4 linked regions of the Sus scrofa genome follow. The protein of the gene in region 4 purifies or fractionates together with the protein of the main gene of each other region. This does not show direct contact. Links are inferred from orthologs where the notes say so. Each region holds a gene or a part of one and is shown on either strand. Other genes may lie near its edges.

Region 1 (4,136 bases), on a different chromosome or scaffold from region 4:
CCCGTCCCTCTCCAGTGAACCAAGTCACTGCAATCAGATTCTTAATCCACTGCACCAAGCAGGAACTCCTCCTTCGGAGAATTTAAAACAGAATTGGGAGTTCCTGTCGTGGCACAGCAGCAACAAATCCTACTAGGAACCATGAGGTTGCAGGTTCGATCCCTGGCCTTGCTCAGTGGGTTAAGGATCCAGTGTTGCCGTGAGCTGTGGTGTAGGTCGCAGATGTGGCCGGATCACGTGTTGCTGTGGTGTAGGCCAGGGGCTGCAGCTCCAATTGGACCGCTAGCCTGGAAACCTCCATTTGCCACACTTGAGGCCCTAAAAATAAAATAATAATAATTTAAAAAAATTTAAAACAGATTTGAGCTGACTTATGTTTTGAAAGAGAGACGGCTTGGATCAGGGTGTCACATTAAAGACAGAGACTAGTAGCTGAATTTGGAAATGTGGAGGCAGACCTAACAAGACTTGCTGCTGGTTTGAATGTTGACATAAAAGAAAGAGAAATCGGGAGTTCCCGTCGTGGCGCAGTGGTTAACAAATCCGACTAGGAACCATGAGGTTGCGGGTTCAATCCCTGCCCTTGCTCAGCGGGTTAACGATCCGGCGTTGCCGTGAGCTGTGGTGTAGGTTGCAGGCGCGGCTCGGATCCCGCGTTGCTGTGGCTCTGGCATAGGCTGGCGGCTACAGCTCCCATTAGACCCCTAGCCTGGGACCCTCCATATGCCGCGGGAGCGGCCCAAGAAATAACAACAATAACAACAACAACAACAACAAAAAAAGACAAAAGACAAAAAAAAAAAAAAAAAAAGAAAGAAAGAGAAATCAAGAATGGCTCTGAGAGGAGTTCCCGTCTTGGCTCAGAGGTTAACGAACCTGACTAGTATCCATGAGGATTCGGGTTCGATCCCTGGCCCCACTCAGTGGGCTAAGGATCCGGTGTTGCCATGAGCCGTGGTGTAGGTCCCAGATGTGGCTTAGATCTCATGTTGCTGTGGCTGTGGTGTAGGCCAGCAGCTATAGCTCTGATTTGACCCCTAGCCTGGGAACCTCCATATGCCGCAGATGCAGCCCTAAACACACACACACACAAGAGAGAGAGAGAGAATGGCTCTGACGGTAAACTCTAGGCATGGGAAGCTAGGTCAGATTAGGAGGTGTACGCAGTAGCATAGGGATGTGGAGCTAGATAATGACCAAGAAGACTCGGACTTCTGGGATGGGGGTGGGGGGGAAATGAGACCAAAGGAATGGGAAATATGATAGAATTACCTGTGATAATCTTTTAAAAGAAAATTGGGTACCACCTAGACTGGAAGGATGGCAACCACTGAGTGCACGCTCTCCCCTGAAGCTGTGATTTGTGTAGCTACCAAGGAACCAAGCAGAGACCTTTTTTTTTTTTTTTTTTTTGACCACACCCATGGAATGTGGAAGTTCCCAGGCCAAGGTTCGAACCTGTGCCAAAGCAGTGACAATGCTGGGTCCTTTGCCACTAAGCCATCAGAGAACGCCTCAAAGACCTCTTTCAGGGAGTCCCTTTCGGAGTAAGTGGGAACAGAGGCCCCCCCGCGCCCCCCATTCTCCACTCTTGTCTGTACCTGGGGTGCGCCTCCGGTCAATCAGGGAGTCCTTTGGTGTCATTGGCTCATCATCAAAATCAAATTCTGTGGGCATGTGCGGCCTGGGACAGGTGGAGAGAGAGAGGAGGGTGAGGGAGATCCTTCCAAACCTCCACTGGTGCTTCTCCCGGGCCTTCGGGCTCTTCCCCTCCCTCTAACTTCCCATGCTCCTGGGTCCCACCTCCCTCCCTATTTCCTCCTGGCATCAAGGAAGCAATCCTCACTTTTCCTCTTCCTCCTCTTTGGCCTCGGGTTCCTCATCAGATCTTTCCTCTTCACTCTGGGCCTCAGGCGTAGGTGGTCGGCGGGGCAGGATCTCTGCCTGAAGCTCCAGGGTACCGTGGGCAGCCAGCAGTTCATAGAGCCGTTGGATTTCGGAGGGAGGTGGCATCCAGGGCTGCCCATCCTCAGGCAGCTCCACCTCTTCATCGCTGCAGGGCACGCACCAGTCCTCGGAGTCTCCCTGGGCGGGCTCTTCCCCCTCAGTGCTGGGGGCTTCTCCCTGCACTTCCTCGGCCCTGGACCCCTCATGTTCGGCCTCCTCCCGGCCTCCTTCCCCCTCTTCCTCGGCTTTATCGGCCGAAGCAGAGGGGCCTCCGGTGTCCTCCACGGCCAGAGCCTGGAGGCCGGAGGTCACTTCCCCTTCTTCAGACAGAGGCGCCGCCGCGGTGGCTGCCGTGTCTCCATGACCCCGGACAAGGGACATAAGCCACTAGGGAAGGGGCCCAGCGATGCCAGGAGATGCAGGAGTACCAAGCCGGGGATTCCCCCCGCGCCCCCTCCCTCCCTCCACTCCCTCCCAAAAAAAGGGATCACCCCGGGGTTCGGGGACTGTTTCGCTAACCAATCAGGCTCCAACAGCGGTCTCGCGACCAGACCACCGGTTCCCAGGAGGGGGCGCTCAGTCCCCTCCAAGGACCCCGCCCCCCACAGATCGAGATCCGGTACTCCGAGGTTTCCAGCGAGCGGCAGAAACCACTTTCCGGGCCGGAGACGGGCGGACCCGCTCTTCTCGCCTCCGCACTACGCCGCTCTACACCTGGATGCGGCGTCCTCTCCCCACACCTCGAAGGTCCCCCACCTCAGCGGCCGTACGCACCTGGAGCTAAGACCCGCCTCCCGGGCCGCGCAGGGTCAAAGTACGCAGGCGCACAGATACGGCGCGGGAGGCTCCGCTTTAGTCAAAGCTACTTGGGAGAGGAAAGCAAGGGGAGGCTTGCACATGCGCAGGTAGGCGCTCGGGAACGATAGGCTTCGGCCCACAGTAAAGATGGCCACGGGGGTGGCGCATGCGCAAATCACCTAGTAGGTTGTGCCCCAAAGGAGGCTGTACCTCCGGCCCCGCGGCGCAGGCACGTAAGGACCAACTGAGGCTGGAGGCGAGTATCATGCAGTCTCCGTTTATTGGTGTTTCAGACTCATGCAGCATCCGGCATACAAAAAGGGAGAATCAGTTTGATGTATCCTTTTTTTTTTTTTTTTTAAAGACTTTTAGGTTTTTTCCCTACGCTTTTTTTTATATTAAAAAAAACACAAAAAAACCAAAACCAAACCAACTCCGAACCGCGTTGTGGCTCAGACCCTGCCTCCCCAGTGAACTGTCGCGTGCAACAAACCTCTCTCGTCCTCTTAGAAAATAATCGCAGCTCTCTCCGCCCCTTCTTTGCTCCCTGCAGCTGGGAGCTTTGGTCCAATTTTTTCTGTTCTTACAGTTACAAAGCACGTGAATGACTCCAGCCGCGACGCCTTTAACAAACCGACTGGGTTAAAAAGCCCAGGCGGGGCAGGTCAGCTCGGGCCGACCGGGGAGGGTTCGAGAGCCTCGCCCCTCCCTTCTACCAGGTGCTTGTTCGGAACAGTACCCGCCACCCCTGCACAAATCTACAAACGAGGCCCGGCTTGCCAGCTCTGCGACCCCGAGGCACCCCGGGGGTGTCTGGGCCTGGGTAGTCCCTGCAGAGAACAGTCGCGAGCCCGGGCTAGGGAGCCCTCTCCAGACACCGCTCCCCTCCCCCAGCCTGATCTAAGTGCTGGAGTTTTTGCAGAATAAACGGTGGAGGAGGGTGGAGGAGAGGATGCAGAGGGGAGATGAGGAGGCAGGAAGAGGAAGGGGGTGGAGGGTGTGGAGAGGGAAGAGGAGATGAATGAGGAAGGGAAGGAAGAGAGGAGGGGGGGGAGGGGGGGATGCTGAGACAATAAAAAGTTGGGAAATGGAGATCCGGGATGAGGTGCAGGGGACTCGGGAGGGTGTAGTGCAGGAAGGCCGCAAGAGATGCAGGAAGGCTGAGAGCAAAGAGAGTCTGGGAGATGGTCAGGGAGGTTTCCAGAAGTGCAAGGAGGTTTCCAGAAGTGCAGGGAGGTTTCCAGAAGTGCAGGGGTAGGGAAGCCAAGAGGCTGAAGGGGAGGCAGGCAAAAGTGCAGGGAGGTTGGACACAGAGCAGGGAACAGGGAGGCCTACGGTTGGCAGAGGAGCCTGGCAGGATGCAGGAGCAGGAAAGAAGCTGTAAACAAGGC
Region 2 (4,228 bases), on a different chromosome or scaffold from region 4:
CAGGCAGAAGCCGCAGGTGGGGAGCGCCGTCAGCTAATGCAAACCTGCAGCGGGGACGAGGCCAGGAAACAGACCAACCTTCAGAAGAGTGTCCAGGACAGAGACTACAAAAACATCGGACCGCCTAACGGAGCCCATGGCAGGTACGGTCCCAACCTGAGGTTCCGGCCACCCTGACTGCACACTAACCCTGCAGGTACCGCGCTGCCCTCTGCCCTTCAGTGAAAGTGGCCAGAGACCCCGCCCTCAAGGGTGCTTCCTAGTTTGTCACCCAGAAGTCTGTAGAAATGCAGCACAGTCCAGGCAGCCAAAAGGCGGCTCCCTTCAAAGAGTCCCTGATACATTAAAGAAGAAACCCAATGGACCAAAGGCGTCTTGTCAGGAAACCAACACGCCAAATTACAGGAGACTGGGCTGCCGGGTGCAGAAGTTTGGAAACTCAGCCAAATCCTTAAATACATCCCAAGGGACATGAGAGCAGGAAGAGCCACATCTGAAAACACAGAAGCGGGGCCTGTGGTCCACACCTCCTGGGGAGGGGCTGCCAGGTCCCGGGTGCAGGCTGCAGACACAAGGCGGCTTCCAAAACACTAAGAGCCGAAAGCATGGCCAGAAAGCACAAACCAGAGCCGGCCCTGCCCACTGGGGTCCCCATGGTCCAGTCCAGCCCTCCACAGAAGCAGCCTAAAGTACGCAGATGCTATGCAAGCAAGACCCACTGCAGAGAAGGGGGAAAGAGGCAGCTCAATTAGGTTTCAGCATGAAAACGGGAACCACTCAAAAGCTGCACAGTACAACTGGCTTCCTCTGTCACAAGAATGGATTCTGCCACTGGGATACTTGGCACAGAAACACACCAGGTGATTCTGAAACAAGGGCAAGCATTATTCCAGAGCCGCCCAGACATCCCGCAAGTCCCACTGGCCAGCCACCTCCCGGAAGCTGGCACCACTGTTAACCTGCTGGGTTCACAAGCTGTACATTCTAGCTTGGCGCCTCAAACTGGAAGCTTGCACAGGTTTCTCGTCACACTGAGGCGGAGCAGGAGCCATCACCAAGAGCAAGTCCCAAACTCTCCCTCCAAGAAGATGGGAGAGAAAGGTCAACGCAACCCAGCTGTGCAGAGTGGCCAGAGCTGTGCGGAGGGGAAACAGCTGGTCACCTGAGCAAGGCTCCCTGCGCAGGGATGGAGCCTGCAGCACCCAAAGCTCAAGTACTGGGCTGGGGGAGGGCAAGGAAGGGGCAGGTCAGCAGATGTGTGGGGGCAAAGTGCTGGCACAGAGCTGGGGCTCAGGAAGCACTCGCCGCTTGTGACTGTCGTTAGTGCAAGCAGGCCGTGCCAATTAGCCCGGCACTGCCTGCCCTTTGCTGGGCTGGACAAGTGGGCCGAAGAGTCCTCTGCACAGAACTGAGCATCGGAGGCAATGAGACCAAGGCCAAGAGCTGCGAGAAGGCCCCCCCTCCCCCGAGCTAAACACGTGCAGGAACAGAAGAGGCTCTGTCTGGGGTGCGAAAGGGAGCACAGAGGCTTGAGACCCACCAGGAGGTGGGGCGAACTGGCTGCCTTCAGGTGAGGAGCGGGGGATCCAATAGGGGGACAGAAAAAGTGCCCCAGCCCTGCCCCACTCCTCAGCTAGCAACACCTTAACGTACAGAAATCAACCTTTAGAAATACGATTTCTGGACACCTTGTTTGGAGCCAGCCTCCCCAGCACCTGCGACTTGCTCCTTCTTGGCTCCCAGGTGAGTCTGACCACCTAAGGCTGAGCCTCCCAAACTTCAGAGTGCTCGCCTGGACTGCCTCGAAATGCAGATGCCTGGGCGCCACCCCAGAGACTGGGGCCAAGGTGTGGCGAGACAGGAGGTAACTGGCCCGCACAGAGTGAGGAGACTCGCTGCTCACCACCCCACCTGAAATCTCAGACATACCTGGGGTCCAGCTTACCCAGCTGCCTCTACCAACCGGGCCAACCTCAGGGGAGAGTGTCTAACTCAGTACTTGCCAGACGGGGGCTAAGGGACCTGAGCGGGTAGAAGCGGGACCAGAAGGCACCAGGAATGATCTTCCACATCCCCCAAAGTGGCCCTCGCGAGCCAGACTGGAAGGGGTCCGAGGCTCCACCGCAGGGCGTGGTGGGCCTTCCCTTCGTGACGGCAGCCCCGCAGCCCCGGAACCCCGAACTCTCAGGGAGCAATGGGGCCTGGGGCTGCCTCGGGCTGGGAGTACAGAGCGGGCTGAGGTGGGGGCGTCCCTGCAGCAGAGGAAGGCAGACAGCGCGCCACATCCAGGCACTGGATGGCTCTGGGGTCTGGGGTGCTTCTCTGGAGGCAAAGGGGTCATGCACGCCGGCTCCAGAAGGAAGTCGCAGTCCCGGGGCTGGGGGCTCGTCACCTGACCGCTGGGGGCGGGAGAAGCTGGGGGTCCCAGGGGCTCCGCGGCGGTCCGTGCGAGTCCGTTTGCGGAGGGGGCTGGGCGCTCGGCGGGGAAAAGGGCAGCCAAGCTCGCGCCCCGGAGGCGAAGCGGCGGGCGCGGGGCGTCTGCGCCGGGAGGCCCGGCGGGGCTGAACCCGGGCCGGGGCCGGGCCCGCCAGAACACGTGCCGCGACGGACGGCGCGGGGTGCGCCGGCGTCGACCCCCAGCCCGCGTCCCCCCGAAGCGTGTCCGCCGGCCGGGCGGCCCCAGCTTACCTGCCGGGCGGCGAGGGGCTGAGGACGGGCGCTCCGGGCGTCGCGTCTGCCGCCGCCTGGGCGGGAGCCGGGCCGAGCTCGACTAGGCGGCGCGGCGAGCGGCAATGCGCGTGCGCGGGGGCGGGGCGAGAGGGCGGGGCAAACGCACAAAGCCGGCCTCTCGGAGGGGAGCTACGGGGAGCGGCGAGGAGCAAAACGCCTCGGCTCGGCTCAACGCCTTAAAGGGACAGTGTGCTCCTGCTTAAAGGCGTTAACCCGGGAGGTGACAGGTTCCGGCGGTCCTTCTGCGGCGGCGCCCCAGGGAGGAGTGGAGTTCCGCCGCCGTGGAATTCAAGCGGCGGCGGGGCCCCAACCTTTCTTCTGACTTGGGGCATCTGCGGGGTCGCCGCCCTCCATCGTCGCGCACACTAGAGGGCGGCGCTCTGGGCAGAGCCCTGGGCTGAGCGTCTTCATCAATGTTTGGGACGTCCCGGTACAGAGGCCCTCACCTTCCAACTGTGAAGCGAGGAATCTGAGCTCCGAAGTGTTCAGAATGCCCTCTCCCGGGGCTGCGTCCTCTGCACTCTGCCCATCAACTCCCGCGCAGGGCCGGCGGAGGGGTCTGCCCGCCTCTCGCCTCTCGGTGCAGGGAGCCCACCGGGCGCACCTGCCCTCTCCTGAGCCCCCAACGCCGAGGTACGAATAGTCACCGCGTGCAGGCTGCTCTGCTGCCTGCAGGGTGATGGCCCAGACAGGTATTATAACTTCCATCTGCAAGTGGGGAGGGGAGGCCCAGAGAGGGACGGCTCAGGGGCACAAGGAGATCCTGGAGCCTGGGTTCTCACCCCAAATCCTGCACATTCTCATCTCACTGCCCCACTTCTGCTACCCACGTGGGTCTTAGAGTCGTGGAGGTGGTCGTGGGCTAGGCAGCCTCACGGCCCCAACCCAGGCCCGTGGGTAGAGTAACACAGTTTATTTCCCAATTAAAAATGGGAACACTTAGGAGTTCCCTGGTGGCCTAGCGGTTAGGGCCTCAGCGTTGTCACTGCTGTGGCGAGGGTTGGATCCCTGCCCTGAGAACTTTTGCATGCCATGGCTCGGCCAAATTAAAAAGGGGGGGGGGCGCCGAACATGACACAGGAACCTGTGCAAACAAGGACAGAGCATTTGAAGTGGAAAGCCTCAGGGAATACTAGTGTGGTTGTCACAGATACAGGAGACAAGGCTGGCAGCTGGCCCAAGATCCCTTCCAAGGAGAACGCAGGGGCCGCAAAATCCCTGTCTGGCCCTGCAGGACTGGGAGTGGATCTCTGTGCCCAGGAGGCCTCATCGCCTTGGGTCAGGTGTCCTGGAGCAGGAGACGGTGACCACCAAAGGTGACCAAGCCAGCTCAGGATGAAGAAGAGTATCTGCATCCACCTGCTGCCTGGCCCCAAGCACAGCCCGTTTCATCTCTGTTGATACACCCCATCACCGCTCCCATAGTTCTCACAGGCAGCCATCCTCTTCTCACCACGCCTACCCCAGTCCGGCCTCCCTGCGGGCCTTTTCCAAACCT
Region 3 (4,275 bases), on a different chromosome or scaffold from region 4:
CAGAAGAGCTGCCTTCACCCGGTGGCCTCCCATCCAGGCGGCACCTAAGCAAACTCTGGCAAGAGCTGCGCTGAAACGTCACGCTGTGTGATAAACAGTAGAGTTAAATTCACTACCAACCTTTACGACAGGGAGATCGAAGACTTCCCGCGCTTCCCCCACTTCGGGATTGTCCCCGTCTTCCGAGATGATGTGCGAGGCTAGCGCATTGTAGGACACTTCCTTGGCTTTCCCGGCTTTCAAAAGCTGAATGACCTTGGAAAAAACCACATGAATTAAAATGGAAAACACCCCATTTCATTCTCAACTTATACAAATTACCATGAACAACAAAGTTTCTAATAAACACACACCACGTTTTCCACGTGGGATTAAGACTCTTTCACTGAGTCACATGCAATGAAACACGTGGGGACAATAAAAAGCAGCAAATCTTGATGCGCTGACTGGTCCATGTGGAAGCGACGGCGAACCACGTACCAGCCAGTCCCCGAGGACGGACGAGGTGAACACAGCAGAGACCCGGCTAGGACACAACCCATCCAGGTCTACCCTCAAGGCTTGGGGATGCATGGTTTCCAGTAAGTGGAAAAGTTTCTGCAGAGGAGCTACAGGCGTGGTGTCCTTGTGAATTCAGAGGCATCACCAGGCAAAAATACGCACGCGGTGTGGCATGAGGAGCATTCAACACAATGGGCAGGTGAAGACGATGATGAGACCCTCGATGGCAGTGTCACAGGCGCTACGCAAAACCCGCTGGGTTTTACCCCAAAATACAGAGCTGTCTTCTGGAGGCACAGAAAGGTGTGAAGCAGGGAAGCGGCCTGATCAGATCTTACAGGAAGATCCCTGACAGTGTAAGAAGAACACATGGGGTTGGCTGCAGGTCTGGAGCCAGGACGCCTGTTAAGAAACAGCTATGAACATTCAGGCGAAAGAGGCAGGTAACTAAGGGAAAAGCAGGTCATTAGGGGCAAGAAGCGATGTGAGAGCACCAGCAAGACTAGGTGCCTCCAAGGGGCCTGTGTCGGAGAAACACTGCGGGGATGAGGACTGTGTGTTTGTTTAGGGCACGTCCCTCTTCGGTGCCACTGTGAGACCTAGAAAGACACCCAGCACGTCTGAGGATGAGACCTGGGCCCCATCTGAGACGGGGCCAAGGCCCAGAGAGCGAATGAGCCCTCAAGCACCGAGCACAGGGTGGGGAGTGAAACCAACACACGTGAATGCTCTGCATCCACGTTTCGAGGATTCAGAGAATCAAATACTCTGGCTGTAAAGTTTTTTTTTTTTTTTTAGAAAATACTTTGTTTTGGATCAAAGTGGTTTGCCAAGGACACTTTAAAAGCCCTTAGACTTGATTAACAGTTGAGTGAACATGACTCCTGTTCAGCTTGGTCCAGGTTTTAAGTAACATTTGGTTCAGGTCCCTCTCAACAGCCAAAGTCCTAAAATGAGGTAGGAAGCAGGGAGGAGAAGAGTGGAGAGTGAAGAAAGGGAAATCCGTAGTCAGAAGGAAGAAGCCGTCACTCTGAGCTCAGCACCTGTTCACTATTAAATCCCAAGCCTCTTGACGCTTACCGTAGAAGAAAGGGTGCACCCTGGGAGTCATCCAAGGGCATCTGGTTCCTAAAATACCACCACAGACACCTCCAGAAGGCCCAAACCAATCGGCCTTTCACAATTCCTTCCATGCCACCCAAGTCTGTTAAGTATCTGTCTCCACTCCTGAGGAGACATCAAGACAGTACAGCCGTCTTTTCCTACACATGAGCTTTAGGAAAGCGAGTAGCCTGAGATTCAGCTGAATATTCAATAAAGGTAGGTTCCCACCATGGAAAATTAACATGCTGACGTTCCAACAGATGTATGACTTACAAAAAACTTAGGAAAGGCGACAATATCCTTTGGCGTGAGGTCACACAAGAAAATGTTTCGTGTGACCGTATTAACAGCGCATTACCCACACTTACTGTATATTTAGGAAAACCAAGAAACACGAAGTCGCTGGTAGTAAACTTCAAGGCCACACACTAGTTGCAGACGTACGACCTCAGGTGGCTGCCACACCAGGGGCAACTAACTGCCCCTCCGCAGCCAGGAACCCAGGCCCCTACTCAGCACCTCCTGCCAAAGTTCCCGTAGCCAACCCGTCCCCGCGGGACCCACTGTTGGCGGGGCCCAGGCAGCTGGAGCTGGCAGCAGGTAGGGTGTCCCTGTCTGGATTCCTCCCCACAAAGGGGCAGAGTGGGAAGCGGACAAGGCAGCTCCGCGACAGCACCCCGGTCCCCCACCACGCGGGGACCGTGACAACCGACTCTTAGCGCAGACCCCCACCCACGTGCCCTTCCCCCCCCCATCTGGGCACACCCTCCTCTTCAAGTTTCCACTCCCAGGACCTCTCCTTTCCCCGCCCGCGGGTCCCGCAGACCCCCTTCCCTCCGGCCCCCACCGCCGGCCTGCTGGGCGCCAGGCGGCCCGGCCTCCGCGCAGCCAGGCCGGCGGGCTTGGGGCAAGAGGTCCCGGACGTTCAACGTGCAGGCGCGCGCCCGGGGCGGGAGCAGAGCCGGGGACGCGGAGGACGGTGCGGGGGCGGTGTGGTACCTGCGGGTCGATGTCGCCCACCGCGTAGTACTTGACCTCCCGGAACATCTCCTCGGGAACTTTGGGCGCCTGGTCCGACATGGTCGCGGCGGCCCGAAGGCTCCGCGGCGGCTCCTGCCCCGCCCGGCCAGCCCCGCGGGGCCCGCTCCCCAACGGCGCGGCCCCGGCCCGGTCCTGCAAGTCGGGCCCGCTCCCCCGCCCTCTGCGCCCCCGCCCGCGCCGGGCCGCCCGAGCGCGGGAGCCGCGCGCGCCCTGCGGGCCGCACCATCCCGCCCGACGCCGAGGGGGAGCGCCCAAGTTAGGCGCTCGGCCCGCCCCACCCGGTGTCCGTCTTGCGGCCCGCGGCACCGGGGACACGGGTACCGAACGGCCCACTCCAGAGCCAGGGGGCCGTGGCCGCCGCCGTCCCCACAGCAGGAAGCCCCGTGCTCGCGGGGAAACGCGCCCCCCCGTCAAGGCTGGAGTGGGCCGGTCCCGGGAAAGAAGGGTACGGGCGGCCCTCCCGTCGACACGCGCGGCCGCAAGGGCGGCGCATGCGCACCGCGGAGGGGCGGGCCGGCGACGGCAACCACGGAGGGAACGGGTCCGGCTTCGGGGTCTGGGGCGCACAGAGACGGAGCGTCGCCGGCTGCTGCCTGGCAGGACCCGAGGTAACGCCTAAGGCCCAGGAAAGGGTCCTGAGTCTTGGCTGGAGGATGAGGGCGCTAGGCCGCGTAACCAGCTCCCCGGGCGCGCGCTCGCGGCCAGTGGCTTCTCGCCGTCGCCCGAACCTGCTCCTCCCGGGACCCGGACCGTCAAAAAAACGAGCCCCGCGCCCCTCCCTCCGGCTCTGCTGACGACAGACGGTCATGACGTCTTCGCGCGCTCTGACGTCATCCGGTGGCGCCTGGAGACCGGCGCTCCGGGCGCACCTGCTCTCCCAGCAGCGCTCCGGGCGCACCTGCGCGGGCACGGGATGGGGCGGCGCTGCGGCTGCGGGACGCCAGGCTCCCCGGATCCACCGAGGCCCAGAGGCCCTGAGGCGCCTGAGCGTGAAAATGCACGTGAATCAGCCCCACAGTTTCCTCCCCCAAGTGGTTCAAACCATTACCCACTGCTGCCGCTACCTTCCAAGCGGTAAAGCCCTTTTATTTATTTATTTTTTATTTTATTTTTTGTCTTTTTGCTATTTCTTGGGCCGCTTCCACGGCATATGGAGGTTCCCAGGCTAGGGGTCGAATTGGAGCTGTAGCCACCAGCAACGCAGGATCCGAGCCGCGTCTGCAACCTACACCACAGGTCACGGCAACGCCGGATCGTTAACTCACTGAGCAAGGGCAGGGACCGAACCCGCAACCTCATGGTTCCTAGTCGGATTCGTTAACCACTGCGCCACGACGGGAACTCCAAGCCCTTTTAAATAAACGGTAGTGTAATTGGTTAGGAGAGAAACCTTTCCAAGGTACTGTGGCACCTTAATACAACCCTAACTCATCTCAGAGGCCTTTGTTGTATCACTTTAAGTCTGCGATAAGGGAGACGTTCTGAACGTGAAAGTTGACGTGGTCGGCTCATTGATCGGTACAATGTACACTGACTTTTTAAAAACGGTGAATAGGGTTTTGATTGTACACTTGTGTGTAATAAATGATTTTGTATGAGTAGCAAGTAAGGATACGATAAGCCTTTTAA
Region 4 (3,510 bases):
AAAAGCTAAGGAGGGTTAAAAAAATATTCATCTAAAGAAGGTAATTTTTGTCTGCCCTTTAACTTTAAAATCCTGTATCACAAAACTACTTAAAAGGAACACTGTTTGTAACAGAAATAATAGAAGTGTAACAGAAACACTGAAAAAAAATTCAACAATAGAAATTCAATCAATATTGGGTGGCTTCCATGTATTTTTAAAGTTTTTTGTCTTTTAAGGGTACATGTAAATTCCTAAGCTAGACAGTGAGTTCCAGCTATAGGTCCCAGCCTACACCACAGCCATAGACATGCATGATCCAATCTGTGTCTGCAACCTATATCATAGCTCAAGGCAACATGCAGATCCCTAACCCACTTAACGAGGGCAGGGATTGAGGGCAGGGATCAAACAGCGTCCTCATGGATACTAGGTGGGTTTGTTATTGTTGACCCAAGACAGCGACTCCCATGAATTTTTTTTTAATTCAATGAACTTTATTATTATATTTATAACTGTCACAACCTAATTTCAGAATGTTTCCATTCCCAAACCCCAGTCTGTCCCTCTCCCAACCCCAACCTGTCTCTGGTAACCATAAGTTTTTTTCAAAGTCTGTAAATCTGTTCTGCAAATAAGTTCATTTGTATCCTTTTTTTCAGAGTCCACACATGATAGCATAAGATGTTTGTCTCTCATGTAAATGCTATTTTATACAGCTAAAAAACAGCAAAGAAGCAATATAAAAGACATGAAAAGTCTTATAGACAAATCTTTCAGGGAAATAACTGGGGAGAAGACACAGTCCTAATATTTACACAGAACAGTCTATGGACATTTGCATAAAGGACAAAAATAAATGAGACCAGTATAGTTTCTTGTACATTTCAAGTGAATTGCTAGTAAAAAAAACAAAATAAACTATTAATGTTATCTGTAGGGAAGGAAAATTAAGTTGCTGGACACAGGAACTAGAAAGACGCTTTAAACCTGTGCAACCTATTTTCTAATTATTCTTCAATTTCAAACAAATGATATATTACTTCTTTAAAAAAGCAAAAATGAGTTATCATCTCTGTTACTCTGGAATACACAGGTTCATTATACTTATATACATATTAATTTAGTTTACTGTTATTCAATTTTAAGAATATCTAAAAAAAAAATTCAAGTTTACTACCCTCACTGCTTTAGTTAAAACTGTCAAAAGAATATTTCATACCTGTAATTTCTGTGGTGTCAAACTCCATGAATGAACTTGTTGCTGTACTGAAGCATGTGAAACACTTTGGCCACTATCCCAGTTCTCAGAACTATTCTGAGGAAAATTTATTTTCAAAAATTCAAAAATATTTGGTTAAATCAATACACCAACAGAGATACTAAATAACTAGGAACTGGAGAATTTACTTAATACACAATCAATTTGAAAGGTATGAGGTCTGAAATTTCATTTATTCTTTAACTTCATGTTCAAAGGTTCTTATCTAAACTATGACTCAAAGACCTAACATGCTGTTCATTATATTCAACAATTTACATAGAAAGAGGTGGTAACAAGTAAGTTAAATCTGTAAAAGCAGGGAAATGGGTAAAATGAATCAAAGAACATAAAATTACACTTCCTTTCTATATTTAAATTATACTGTAATTTTAGGATAGGAAATACTGCTTATAATAGCAAAATATCTGATGACTCCTCTCTCTGATGTACATAGTTTTAAAAGATAGGCACCAATTTCAGGAGACTGAGAGCTTCATTCTAATTGGAATTTTCTGTTTCTCTAAAATGTACATATATACCTTTGTTGGACTAGATGTTCTTTTCTTCTTGGCAGGACTGGACAGGCCATCTATTTGGCTAGAAGTAATCATATGCACTGGCAAGGACTGCTGTGAAATTGGTGTTTGATTGAGGCCTAAAACAGGTTCAGTATTTGGATGATGAGCTTTGTAAGCCTAAGAATGGTAGAAGTAAAACACAAATATGGTTCCAAATATTCTTAATTCATGACTTTAAATTGCAAAACATTATAAGCTGCATACTCTTCAAAAACTATGTGGACATCATGGATTGTAATTGAAAATCAAAATTGAATGAATCATCAATGGAGGAATGTGTACCTGCTTTCAAAAAACCTGGTTTCTAAAAAATTAAATAAATCACTTTATAACAGTCCCTTAGGATTCCCTTTTGAAATCATGAAAATTATACACAAGTATTAAACTGTACTCCATGTTTCTTCCCAAAGTTTTATTTTGATCTATAATCCTTTTGCAATTAAATTTGAAGGATTTTTATCTTTTAGAAAAAGCCAATCCTGCACTTAGTAACTTAGATCTGATCACTACAGATTGGAAAGAACCCTTAAAGCTGGGCACCTACAGAAGATAACCCAACTTCTCACCTGCTGTGCTGTGTTCATGGCACCCTGCCTGGAGGTAAGCTCTGCAGGTATTGGTAGGCTCCATGCCTCCTCAATACTAGGAAGTAATTTAGTTTTATTCTGTAGACTACCTTGTGGAAGGTTACACAACTGAGCCTAGGAAAAATTATGTAAAAAGCAAATTTAACACAGGACTACCAGAGTAAGAGCAAGTCCACTAAAACTTCCTCAATGCTATAGGTATTTATTTCTTAAAGAAAACAAACTGTAAATGTGTGGTTTCAGATATTTGCTATATAAAGAGGGTGACTAGAATATATTCGAGAGAATGAGAACAAAGCTAAATTCTCTATTTCAGAATTCACATGGATACTGTCTCATGACATTTCAAGCATGAATGAAAACCAGTGTTCTTTTCTCTAAAATGCTGTAACTTAAAAATGTAAATAGCAGTCAAAATAATGCAAACTAAGATGCATCATCAAAGTAAAAATTCAAAAGAACACTTTAAATACAGACTATCTTAAAGTGAAAAGTAAAACACTACTAAAGTATTAAAAATTATGAAAAAAGTTGCTGACATAAAAACAAAAAGACACTTTTCAGCCACCCTCCCTGTGCCAGTTAACATATGGAAATATCTTTTAAGATAGGCTATTTCAAAAAATTACCTGTAAAAACTTAATTCTTCCTGTGAGCACAGAGGTATTACTACAACTTTTGCTTCTAGTTGCATTTAAATAGCATTTAATGGCATCCTGAGGTTGATTGCAGGATTCATAAAGAGTGCCTAGGTCCATCCAGGCTGCTGCATGCCCATGGTCCAACTGTACGGCACATATATAGGCCTGTAATGCATCCATAGGCTGATTTTGCTGCTGATAGAGCACACTGGAAAGAGAAATAAAGTTGTCTAAAACTGACTAGTGAAATATTAATACAAAGAACATTAGATGTATCTCAATAAACTTGTGAATCAATAAAACAGTATCATAGTCCTTACCCTATTGAACACCAAGTATCTGCACTTGCTTCTGATTTATCAATAGATTGCCTGTAAGATATAAAGGCATCCTGAACTTTCCCAATACTTGAGTAGCACCTGAAAGAGGATGGAAATATATAAACATATACAGACACATGT

Evidence for each region. The genes of interacting proteins can lie anywhere in the genome.
Region 1: the proteins of lysine-specific demethylase 6A-like (region 4) and PAGR1 purify together in Homo sapiens (affinity purification with mass spectrometry; 5 studies listed by BioGRID and IntAct, with this or other methods). This does not show direct contact. The link is inferred for Sus scrofa from reciprocal best matches to the Homo sapiens genes KDM6A and PAGR1.
Region 2: the proteins of lysine-specific demethylase 6A-like (region 4) and WDR5 purify together in Homo sapiens (affinity purification with mass spectrometry; 7 studies listed by BioGRID and IntAct, counting the BioPlex papers as one, with this or other methods). This does not show direct contact. The link is inferred for Sus scrofa from reciprocal best matches to the Homo sapiens genes KDM6A and WDR5.
Region 3: the proteins of lysine-specific demethylase 6A-like (region 4) and PAXIP1 purify together in Homo sapiens (affinity purification with mass spectrometry; 6 studies listed by BioGRID and IntAct, with this or other methods). This does not show direct contact. The link is inferred for Sus scrofa from reciprocal best matches to the Homo sapiens genes KDM6A and PAXIP1.

Annotation. Positions count from the first base shown.
Region 1 is NC_010445.4:18,051,347-18,055,482, reverse strand, and holds the start of PAGR1 (PAXIP1-associated glutamate-rich protein 1), read right to left. Parts: upstream 2,805-4,136; 5' UTR 2,329-2,804; coding exon 1,847-2,328; intron 1,685-1,846; coding exon 1,602-1,684; intron 1-1,601. UniProt on the Homo sapiens protein: Its association with the histone methyltransferase MLL2/MLL3 complex is suggesting a role in epigenetic transcriptional activation. However, in association with PAXIP1/PTIP is proposed to function at least in part independently of the MLL2/MLL3 complex.
Region 2 is NC_010443.5:273,558,855-273,563,082, reverse strand, and holds the start of WDR5 (WD repeat-containing protein 5), read right to left. Parts: upstream 2,805-4,228; 5' UTR 2,689-2,804; intron 45-2,688; 5' UTR 1-44.
Region 3 is NC_010460.4:3,065,382-3,069,656, reverse strand, and holds the start of PAXIP1 (PAX-interacting protein 1), read right to left. Parts: upstream 2,805-4,275; 5' UTR 2,686-2,804; coding exon 2,605-2,685; intron 256-2,604; coding exon 121-255; intron 1-120.
Region 4 is NC_010462.3:8,955,463-8,958,972, forward strand, and holds part of lysine-specific demethylase 6A-like, read right to left. Parts: intron 3,469-3,510; coding exon 3,370-3,468; intron 3,258-3,369; coding exon 3,038-3,257; intron 2,523-3,037; coding exon 2,388-2,522; intron 1,939-2,387; coding exon 1,783-1,938; intron 1,298-1,782; coding exon 1,202-1,297; intron 1-1,201. UniProt on the Homo sapiens protein: Histone demethylase that specifically demethylates 'Lys-27' of histone H3, thereby playing a central role in histone code. Demethylates trimethylated and dimethylated but not monomethylated H3 'Lys-27'.